2 linked regions of the Caenorhabditis elegans genome follow. The protein of the gene in region 1 purifies or fractionates together with the protein of each later gene. This does not show direct contact. Each region holds a gene or a part of one and is shown on either strand. Other genes may lie near its edges.

Evidence for each region.
Region 2: the proteins of T25G3.3 (region 1) and xpo-1 fractionate together in Caenorhabditis elegans (co-fractionation; one large-scale study listed by BioGRID). This does not show direct contact.

What each region holds. Positions count from the first base shown.
Region 1 is NC_003279.8:7,557,830-7,563,066, reverse strand, and holds T25G3.3 (60S ribosomal export protein NMD3), read right to left. Parts: upstream 3,229-5,237; 5' UTR 3,224-3,228; coding exon 3,082-3,223; intron 3,037-3,081; coding exon 2,909-3,036; intron 2,859-2,908; coding exon 2,463-2,858; intron 2,011-2,462; coding exon 1,796-2,010; intron 1,750-1,795; coding exon 1,502-1,749; intron 1,413-1,501; coding exon 1,324-1,412; intron 1,276-1,323; coding exon 1,105-1,275; intron 1,056-1,104; coding exon 903-1,055; 3' UTR 718-902; downstream 1-717. Other genes in the region: Chitin synthase chs-1, read right to left, coding at 3,611-3,774, 3,886-4,140, 4,194-4,596, 4,642-5,024, 5,071-5,237.
Region 2 is NC_003283.11:7,803,232-7,808,363, reverse strand, and holds the start of xpo-1 (Importin N-terminal domain-containing protein), read right to left. Parts: upstream 3,301-5,132; 5' UTR 3,073-3,300; intron 3,022-3,072; 5' UTR 3,003-3,021; coding exon 2,482-3,002; intron 2,431-2,481; coding exon 873-2,430; intron 827-872; coding exon 711-826; intron 661-710; coding exon 390-660; intron 242-389; coding exon 1-241. Other genes in the region: uvs-1 (UV-stimulated scaffold protein A homolog), read left to right, coding at 4,679-4,741, 4,786-4,908, 4,957-5,055, 5,105-5,132.

The sequences.
Region 1 (5,237 bases):
CCGAACAAACTTTTTTTGGAAAGCGTGGAGGTAGATGTTTTTTTTTAATATCCTAACTTTCGAAATTTCCGGGTGATTTTAAAAAGGCTTTTTGTTTTCTATATTACGAAAAAAACTTAAATTTTTTTAGAAGATAACTTTTTTCAGCAGCATCAAGAATGTCGTTTTAGATTTTTTACAAAAAAAGGAAAAATCTAAAAATTCCCGTTTCCCAATTTTTCGAAAAAAATGTCTCGAAATGTTGATTCTTGTTCAAGTAAAACAAAATTATATGTTTTCTTCTGTTTTTTCATCAAAATAAACTGAAATTTAAGAAGAATTGGATTTTTGTTAATTTTCTAAACCTTCTTCCCGATTCTTAAAAATATCTAAAATTTTCGTTTTTCAATTTTTCAATTATCTCTGAAAAATCGAGAAGTTTTCGATGACACCATAAACAAAATGTTGAATTTTTTGTCAATATCCTAAAAAAACTTTTACGATTTTCCAGAAAAACGTAAAATTTTTCGACGACGCCCTTGACGGCGGCATACAGACTTATTTCTGAGAATGAATTCAAATAGGAAAATCTCAAGAATAATGAGAAAAAGCACAATCTAGACCTGAAAATGCACTTAAAAATGATAAGGTGAGTAAAGGGCAAGAATGTTGATAAGAAATGATGCAGTAATAGTTTTTAAGTGATTAAAACAGCAAAGTATTGTAGGCGTAGCTTTTCTTGAAAACAGATTTATCAAAAAATAAGGAGAACGAACAAAAAACGGGGTATTTTTAATAAACAAAATGTGATAACAGAACAACAAGCGAGTAGTAGGAATAGGTTGGAACAATGATCAGATTGCAAACAAAAATATAGAAGACAACAATATGGAGAAAAACGAAATTTTGAGATAGAGCGAAGATTACTCTTGCATAGCTTCATCATCTTCTGCACTTTCAGCCTCTTTCATCTCCTCGTCATCGAATTTCAAATCATCAAGCATTTCGGCAAGAGTTGGAGCATCTGGATGATCTTCTGCGTCGTCTCCATCAACATTTGGTCCTTTCTCTGCGTCCTGCAATTTATTTGGTTTACAACATTATATCATTCTAATTTTCTCTCACTTTATAAATATTAATCTTCTCTCTCATCAGTGCATCTTCTTCGATATCCTCCATAAATCCTTGGAATTCATCAGCAACTGATGCCGTCTCATTTCCAACAATATTACCATCAACAACCAATCTCTTCAACTTCCATTGACGTTTGGCTGTACGACGAGTTCTATCGAATACCTGAAATTCATAAAATATTGAGTATTCCTCCAAAAACTGTAAAAATACCTTTCTGACAATAATTGCATCCGGAACATTATCAATGTTCATGGCATCGAAAGTTGCATTATTCACATTGCAGTTCTTCATGTCGAATGCTGAATTTTAAAAATGTTTTTCCAAAAAAATTCTAATCAGAAACTTTAGAAGTAAGTAAATAAAGTTATACACAATAATTGAAACTAACCCATAACCAAGTCTCCAGGTGATAACAAGTGTCCAATGTGAGTTCTAGCTGATAGAGATTGAGCATCAGACATTCCAACTTGATCACTTCTCACCAACCATACATCTGCCAATTCGTGTTTCTTACTCACATATCCGTGGCCTGCCTTTCTCTCAAAGTTATTTACAGGTTCCACATCGAGAACGTAGAATTCTGTCAATTGTTTTGGTCCGCAAAGAGAATCGAAAGGCTCTCTCCAGAAATTAGTTCTGTAATATGCCAATTTTCATTTCTTTTCTAGATATTTGTACTTACGCTTGAACATCAACCAACTGCAAATTGTTGGGGTCGATGAGAGTGATGACATTCGAGACACGAAGACAAAGAACGATTTGTGACATATTTCCGTATTGTTGAGCCTGTTTCTTTGGGAGACAAACGATATTGTCTCTGCAGATTGGTACGATTTCAACGCAGAAAGTGTGTTTGTAATCGTATGTGTTGTTTTTGGTATCGTGAGAGACAAGTTCCTGAAATAAGAAAATGTCATAACTGATGGTGAATATAATATGGTGTTTTGCGAACTGACTCGTAAGAATTCAGAGAATAATTTGAAAAAGGGGTGCGCGGCAATTCTACAAAATGATACAGTTTGACATGTTTTTCTAATATGTTTCATCAAAATGTAATGGTAAAATACATAAAAAATAATTGCTTTGCCGGAAAAAATCAGATAAATTATCAACAAAAAAAACAATTCGGGTAGTTTTCAACGTTCAGTAATTTTTTGAGCACTTTCAGTTGTTAATAAAAAGTTATTTTCAGATAAATCAAAACATTTTTTTTACATTTTACTGAAAAATATTGGGAGAGCATGCCCCTCTGGCTCATTTCGTAAAAATGCCGGTCGGCAATTGCTATGCACCCCTGATTTGTAGGCAAACTGATGTCAATTATTTCAGCATCATCGACTTTCACAAACCTGCGCGTAGTGATATTTGCATGGAAGTACAGTCATCAAAAAGTCGACAAATTTTCTCGCTTCTTGTTGTTTCGCAAAGTAAAAATCAATTCCAGTCGGAACAGGCTTGACTCCAGTACATTCTTTGTGAGCGGAGTGTTTGAGGAGAAGTTGTTCCAAATAGAAAAGAGTCTTCTTGAACTCTGCACGTTGACGAACTTGCACACAAGCACGCCAGAAATCTTTGGCTTCAGCACGACGACAATCATCGCACAATTGACTGTGAACGGTAAACTCAACGACGACAGCTTGTTGTAGGATTGTATTAGTGAATACTTCCTTTTGAATTGTGATTTTCACTTTGATACGCTTGGAGTGAGCTTCTGTCCATACAAAGCACGCATCGGTCAGACGAACCTAAATTTTGGATTTTATTGAAAACTGAAGTGATTCCGTGAATGATTTACTTTCGTTAGCATTGGCTTCAACTTTTTCAAGCAAATCGAAAGAAGTTCTTTGGATTCCAGTTCTGCTCTCATCCATGCACTTGGTGGAACAAAGTAACGATCACAAAATTTGCACATGTAAATTGTGCCTGAAATTTGAAAAATTATTATTTCAACAATTTTAGAAAACTCACATTGCCGAGTGATTCCCTCGGTAATATCTACCCTCGAGCGAAGGCATCCACTGCACATATTCGCTGGATTTGGTTCAATCGCAACACCGCATTCGCAGCAAGCGATTAGACCAACTGTCGGTTTTATGTCCAGGGATTGCATTTTGACTGAAAAAAAATATATAATTACTGCAAAATCAAAGCGATCTGCTTGCAAATTCTTCAAAACTACGAATATTGAGGATATCAAAACATTTTTTTAGGAAGAATGGAGAAAAATTGCGAAAGAAGAATGACCCTGCAAACGTGCTCGCCCGAACTTTTCAAGTAAGACATTTGAGCGGATAATTCAAATAAAATATCCAAGCAGGAACAATATAATCCCTTAAAGTTTCTCATTTAAAAAGAGGGTGAAAAGTTTCCTCTTCTTTATTTTAGTTACAAATTCATTCAACAGAAGTTAATAAAGGCGAGAGATGAGGTAAGAGCATGCAATAATAATAATACTAATTGGTATGCAATAAATAAAAAATAAAAATCAATTTTAGCACTATTCAGTTGTGGAAAGTGCACTTCTTTGCATTCGCTTTGCGAGACGAGCCTTTTGAAGTTTGTAGAGAACATTGCCGGTATCGGATTCCTCTCCGCGATGCCTTGTATAGCCGTCGGCAGCGTGTCCAGTACTGACACCGAGAGAATTAATCATTAGACGAGCTGAAAATTATATCTTTAGTTTTTGCGAAAATTTAAAATCATTTAATGACAATTATTCATCAATAATTTTGAGTTGTTTCGTCTTTAAACTTAGTTTTAAAAAGAAAATACCATTATTCATAATCCTCTCATCATCATTCTTTGTATTTATCACTGGTGAAACTCCGTATTCGTACAAATTTTTCACTTCTTGGAAAGCTCCTATCATAGTGTTAAGTCGATGGAGAAGCATTCCGAGAGTTTGAACAAAAAGAATAATTAGAAGGAAAACAACAATTCCCATTCCAAGTGGATCTATTTTTAATGGTTCATCGGTTTCCTCGTATTGTCCAGTCATCTCATTCATTTTCGTCCATCGGAAGTTTTCTAGAAAAAAAAAACAAATTTTTTGAATTGACCATAAAGGTAATATTGCTTACTGATTGGCGAGAACTTGATGCTGAGCACATTTTTGTGTTTCTGAATCAAAAAGATGGCAAGAGCAAGAAGAGAATTAACGAGAAGAATAGTGAAAGCAATCTGATTTCGTAGAGAAGCCAATCCTTCGGCGACGGCTTTCATTTCAGCTGGCGTCGTCTTGATCGGTTTCAGATATGCATTGATGAGCTCGTTCCAGAAAACCTTTTCCGCACTTTTCAGTTTTCCTCGTTCACAAACTTTCAAGCTATGACTTGTCATCCACACATAACGGTTTGCCTTCTGAATCTCTTTTTGAGTCTTCTCTACGTTCTCTTCAATCGGAAAATCTGCAGTTTGAGTTTCTTCTTCACGTTTCTCCTTCTCCTCTGTTGCATCGAGAATTTTCTTCACGTCGGCACCACTCTGAAAATAAATTATTAATTTCACATTTCTAAAGTTAAAGATAACCTCAATACTTCTCAAGGCTAGCTCCATTCTCTGCATTTTCTTTTCCATTTTCTCTCGTCTCTCTTCATGTTCCTTCTTCTCCCGACAACTGATTAATCTGAATCCCTTTTTCACAATATCAATCACTCTGTCTATAAATTGTTCCATAGGCGCTTTTTTCGTCTTTTGTCCCGTTGCCTTAGCGACAGCTTCACGAGTTCCCCACGTGATAACGTTGAGATTGATGAGCGAATATAAAGTGAGGAACACATATGTAGATGGAATCATGAGGAAGAATACGACACCATGGATAATATTCGTGAATTCTTTTGGATGAAGACATGCAGCAAAGAAGAAGATTCCGACCATTGTGACAATGAAGAGAGATGTAGGAGCGAGAACAGCTGAAAATTGTCGTAATCAGGATGAAGGGATAATGTAAAAACGCACTCTCGAGAACAATTTGACTGCTGGTAGCGACTAACACAGCCAACATTACGAACGCGTACGCAATCGACATGTACTTGGCATAGATAAGTTGAATATTCGACTCTGTTGTGAAACAAAGAACAATGAAAAATCCTATCGGAATTCCATTATAGAGCATCACATCAGAT
Region 2 (5,132 bases), on another chromosome or scaffold:
CAATTTCCGCAACATTGCGCATTGTGTGTTGGAATGCCCAAACGACGGCGTCGATGACTGTTCCAAGATCCTCTGGAGGCATTTCCATGAAAACCGGGAAGCACTCTTGAACCAAAGAAAGCACCAGCTCGAAGAAGTTGGTTCGATGCTCGGGGAACGCTTCCATATCCTTGTTGATCATGTCAATGCTGCATTGGAAAACCGCACTGAGGATGCTCGGCACTTGTGGACAGAGGAGAGACTGAAAAATAATTTGATAAAGTTATAATTTTTGAGAAATTTTCGAAATTTAAAAGTTAAGAGTTGAGACGAATTTGAAAATTTTTCTTCAAGCCCTAAATTATTTTTATTTTATTTTAATTTTTTCAAAATTTCAAAAGATAACTGACTCCAAGTTGTGTGACCAGAATGCTGAGCAAAGACAACACTTTCGGCTCTCTCGCCTGTGGCACATTCTTCTGGTAATCGAAGAGAACCGCATCGAACAATGGTGGAACTATACTGTCCAGAATGAGCTTGGCATCTCCGTTCTTTGAAATGAATGTCGATAGAAGGATGAGAATCTCTCGCTTCACAGCTCGCATCGTCTTTACCAATGGATTCTTCAAAGCCTCTTCGCCGGCGGTTGTCACTGCTCGGGACACCTTCTCGGATAGAATTCTAAAAAAATTAGGTTTACTAACAGAACTTCTTTTTTTTTTAATTCTCACTTGTAGAGGGATAGAAGATCACTGTAGATATTTCCGAGTTGGGTTACAAACGAAGATCCAATGGATTTGCAGGCGGCCACATTTGTTTTTAGTATATTCAGGACAGATTTGACCATCTGAAATTTGAATAAATATAAAAGCCAACCCCTTAAAATAAATTACCTCCGGCTCTTCGAGCACACTGTCGTTAGTGGATGCTGCTGCAATGATGTCGTTCCATGTGCGATTTGGGATATCCATAAGCTTCATGATCAGGTCTTCTTGCAGATTTCCATCTATCTGCGCAGAAATGATGTGTCCAACAGCCTCGTAGAATACGTGAACTTGTGCATGAGAAAGATCGCAGATGATTCCAGTCAAATTTTCGAGCATCTCTTCGACGAAAGGCTTATTCTCAGCTGGTTGGACGATGACGAAATGCCTCTTACATTTTATGGAAATCTTGATGAATGTATCACAAGCCATGTCCTGTACACCTTCATGAGTCTCGTGCATGAACTCGAAAAGCTTATTGATAACCGTCTTCAGGAACTTCCAGTGAGCTCGAAGGAATCTCGGGTACTGTCCGACAACATACATGATGTTTGACGCAATCACTGCCTTATTGTCCTTTCCACGTTTCTGTTCACAGAGCCCGAGTAAATCACGAATAACAAGAACAAGGAATCGCTTTTCGTCTTCTTCAACCATCGTTCCAGAAATCGAACCAACAGCCCAGCACAAACGATTCAAATTCTTCCACGAAAACTCTCCTCCGTTCACTTGTGATGCCAACTTTTCAGTCATCTTCACTTCAGTGTCCTTGTTGTCAAGATGAGTCAAATAGACAAGCGTTTCACGCATGTTACGGTACAAAGCAATCGAATCAGTATCTTTGACCATTTCACGAACAACTTCTCCTTGATCATTTTCCACAATCAACACCTCTTCTGGCTTTGCCATTCGAGAAATCATTGTTGAACGAAGTTGCGAGAGGTATTCACGGTAGAGTTGACGACGTGGATGCTCACGAACCTGACTCATCATTCCGTAAAGAGTACTTGGCTGAATGAATGGACATATACGGTAGAGCTCAGCAGTCAACCAGCACCAACAATCGAGGCAAACTTTGAAAACCTCCATTTCTTCGATCAAAGTGATTTTCAAAAGAAGTTGAATAGCATAGTCGTGAGATTCTCGCATTAAAATTTTAGCCTCAGTTAATGGCTCATCAGTTACTTCAATCAGATGAACGTGCTCTTTGATGAACGCGACAAGAAATTGAGCCAGACTACTGATGAGTTTCTGATCCTGATCGGAAGCATCTTTGTAGACAGCAGCCAGGTCGAGGTCCAAAGATAGAACTTGGCTAATGTGGCGCATTGTAGAGCAGAACATTTTGACAAGCTTTTCGTCGTAGCTGGGATCGTTGGTTTCAACTTGAATTTGTGAAATTTCCGTGAGACATTGAAGAGCGATGACACGATACACTTCAAGCGAAAGGAAGTTTTCAGACAGCAATTCCGTGATGTTTGTCTCGAAAACGTAGCCAACTGGAATCCAGGTGAGGAATCGTTGAAGAGTCTTCAAGGTAGCTTGAACCATAGAGTTGGATGGACATTTCTCGAGAATGCTGACACACAGTGTGAATACTTCTTGGAACTGTCCACAGAATTGTTGTTTCAGATGTTGTTCCTTGGCTTGGGTGAGGTTTTGGGATCCGAAATCAAATACTTCTTCGCTGAAAAATATAATAAATGTAGCAAAACATTTTAAAACTAATTCAAAATACCTCAACAAGCTCAGAATATTCATATTGTTGATGCAAACGGTCTCGTTGTTCTTCGATGAATCAACAATATCGGTGATGAATGTTGGCCATGCCTTTGGCCAATCTTGTTTGACAATTTGAACCAAAACGAGGTTCAACTTGTGAAGAAGCAGTTGACTTTGTTCCATGACACTCTGATCAGAAGACAATTCGAACATTTTGGTGATGATGTACGACTTGATTCCTTCACGTTGGACTTGTGGCAACGACTTCCATTTGTGTTGGATGACAGTCTCAAGGATTTGAAGTGCAAAATACTTGGACTCATTTAGCTGCGAATATTGAAGAATCGCATCGACTTTGGTCCACGAATCGCGTTCTTCCTTGAGCGACATGAGGATTTGGTTAGCCTCGGCCTGTTCTTTTCCGCTCATTCGATTCATAATCTCGACGACTTGATCCAAAAGAGTCACATCGATACGGTCACCTTGGGCGAATTGACGCTTCGCTTCAGAGAGCACTTCCATTGCTGAGACAGCCATGTTTTTTTATTGTCGGTTTCTGAAATTGATAGCATTTATTGACCAACACTATAAATATAAAATAACTTACCAGCGATCAAATTTCGCAAAAATCGGCAGTAGTTTCCAGTTCAGTCTCACACACTCACGCACACACAAAACTGGCGGGGTTCAGGCTCTCGCTTTTCGGGCAGAAATCCTGTGTTTCTCACAGTGAAGCTGGAAAATTAGGCCAAAATATCGTTTCACTCGCACACACACTCTCACGCTCTCTCACACAACCGACTGTTGACGATGGGACGATCGATCTAGCCCAGTTCTGAAAATAAGAAAATTATTTTTAAATTTGCAAACCAAAAGGTGTAGAAAATATATGTCAAGAGAGGGAAAAAATATTGACCTAAAGTTTGACAGAAATAAATTCAGAAACGGAAATTGGAGATGGGAGAAGACGAGAGATATTTCTTTCATCATCGTCACTTTTGACAGTCAAATGTTTCGAAATTACTGGATTGATAAGGATCTATTCAAGACTAGGAAGTGAGAAATGCTGAATGCAAAAGTTCGGCCAAACAAATCTCACTGCGAAAAATATTGTGTGCGACCTTGCTGAATTGGGACAGAGCGCGCGATGTTATTGTAAGCAACGGTAAAAAATCGATTGAGGACACCTCGATGAGTGCACCCGTCCCGCTTTGTCTTGTCACGTGATGTGCATGACTTGCGCCCTCTCTTTACGTTCGGAAAACATTGAAAACAAAGCGTAGGAGCTATTGAGGAGGGGTCATGTGATTTTTTTTCGCATGTTTACTTGTTTGCAGATACATGAAGACAGGAGAAGAAATTGAGAAACGGAAGGACCATTCTGAATATTTTTGGCCGAGACGCGCGTCGAAAATGTCGAAATGAGAAAGATTGAATGAAAATAGAAGCAACAAAATCGCCGCACGTGACACACTACACACCTATTATTTGCTATGAGAACGGAAAAAAAACAGCGGTGAAGCAGATTTTACGTGTGAGAGACAAAAAACGGAAGAAGTGGGAGAAATCGTCGGATTCATGCTCAGCGGCCATCCCAGTTTTTATCACAAGACACGCGCCGGCGCGCGCGGGGAAAGTCTCCTCGCGGCCTTTCCTGTTCGAATTCATCGCAGACGCAAAAGAGTACGATGGAGCGCATTTGACAAAAACTTTCGCGGCTGTTGGGTACTCGCGGACCTGATATTTCTGTGTTTGGTGAGAACGGAAACAACGAGTAAAATGTATTTTACTTACTTTTCGAAAGTAGATATTCACAAAAATAAAATGTGCTGTTAAATTTTTAAGTACATCTTAACGAATTATTTCGAAAATAATTTGATTGCGAAATTAAATTCATGTTTATACGCTGTTGTTTTCATCGTTCTTGTGATTTTCAGAAGAAAAATGAAGCCAAACTTGAGAACAAAGCAAGAAAAAATGTTGATAATTTTCGCTAAATAAAATTATTTCCCTTGAAATAAAAATTGGCGTCTAAACTTATCGGGAAACAAATAAAATGTTGAAAAGAAGGCAACCAAAAGTGAGGAATATTTGAAAAAAACAACCGTATCACCTATTTCGCTTCGAGACCTGTGAACGGTTTTCTTTGCATGCGCCTTTAAGATTATGATAGAAAACATTATTTTTGTTTTTGTTTTCAGTACTGCAGTTTTATGGATTCAATTGACAACTCCACAACAATAATAAGGAAGAATTTGAACCGATTCATACGAGAAGTGAGTTTTGGAACTAAAAAACAAAATTATGCGAAAGTTTTCAGCTGACAGATGATGGAAAGTTGGACTTTGAATCAATACCATATCAAAATTTGCAAAAAGAAGTGGCAAATCAGGACGAAGAAGGCTGCGAGAATGTGATAGAAGTATTGCTGGATACTACAAGCGTAAGATTCAAGATTAACATTAGAATTAATTAATTAAAACATTTTAAGAGATCAGGATGTCCCGATAGGAAACTAATTCTGCAACTGTTCAATAGCTTCTTCTTACAATTTCCAATATTTCGGGAAAATCTACTCAATGATCCATCAGTGAGTTTTGTGAAAGCTTAAATTAAACTAAAAAATTAAATTTCTCTAGGAATTTCTCGAATTAATGTTCGAAACAA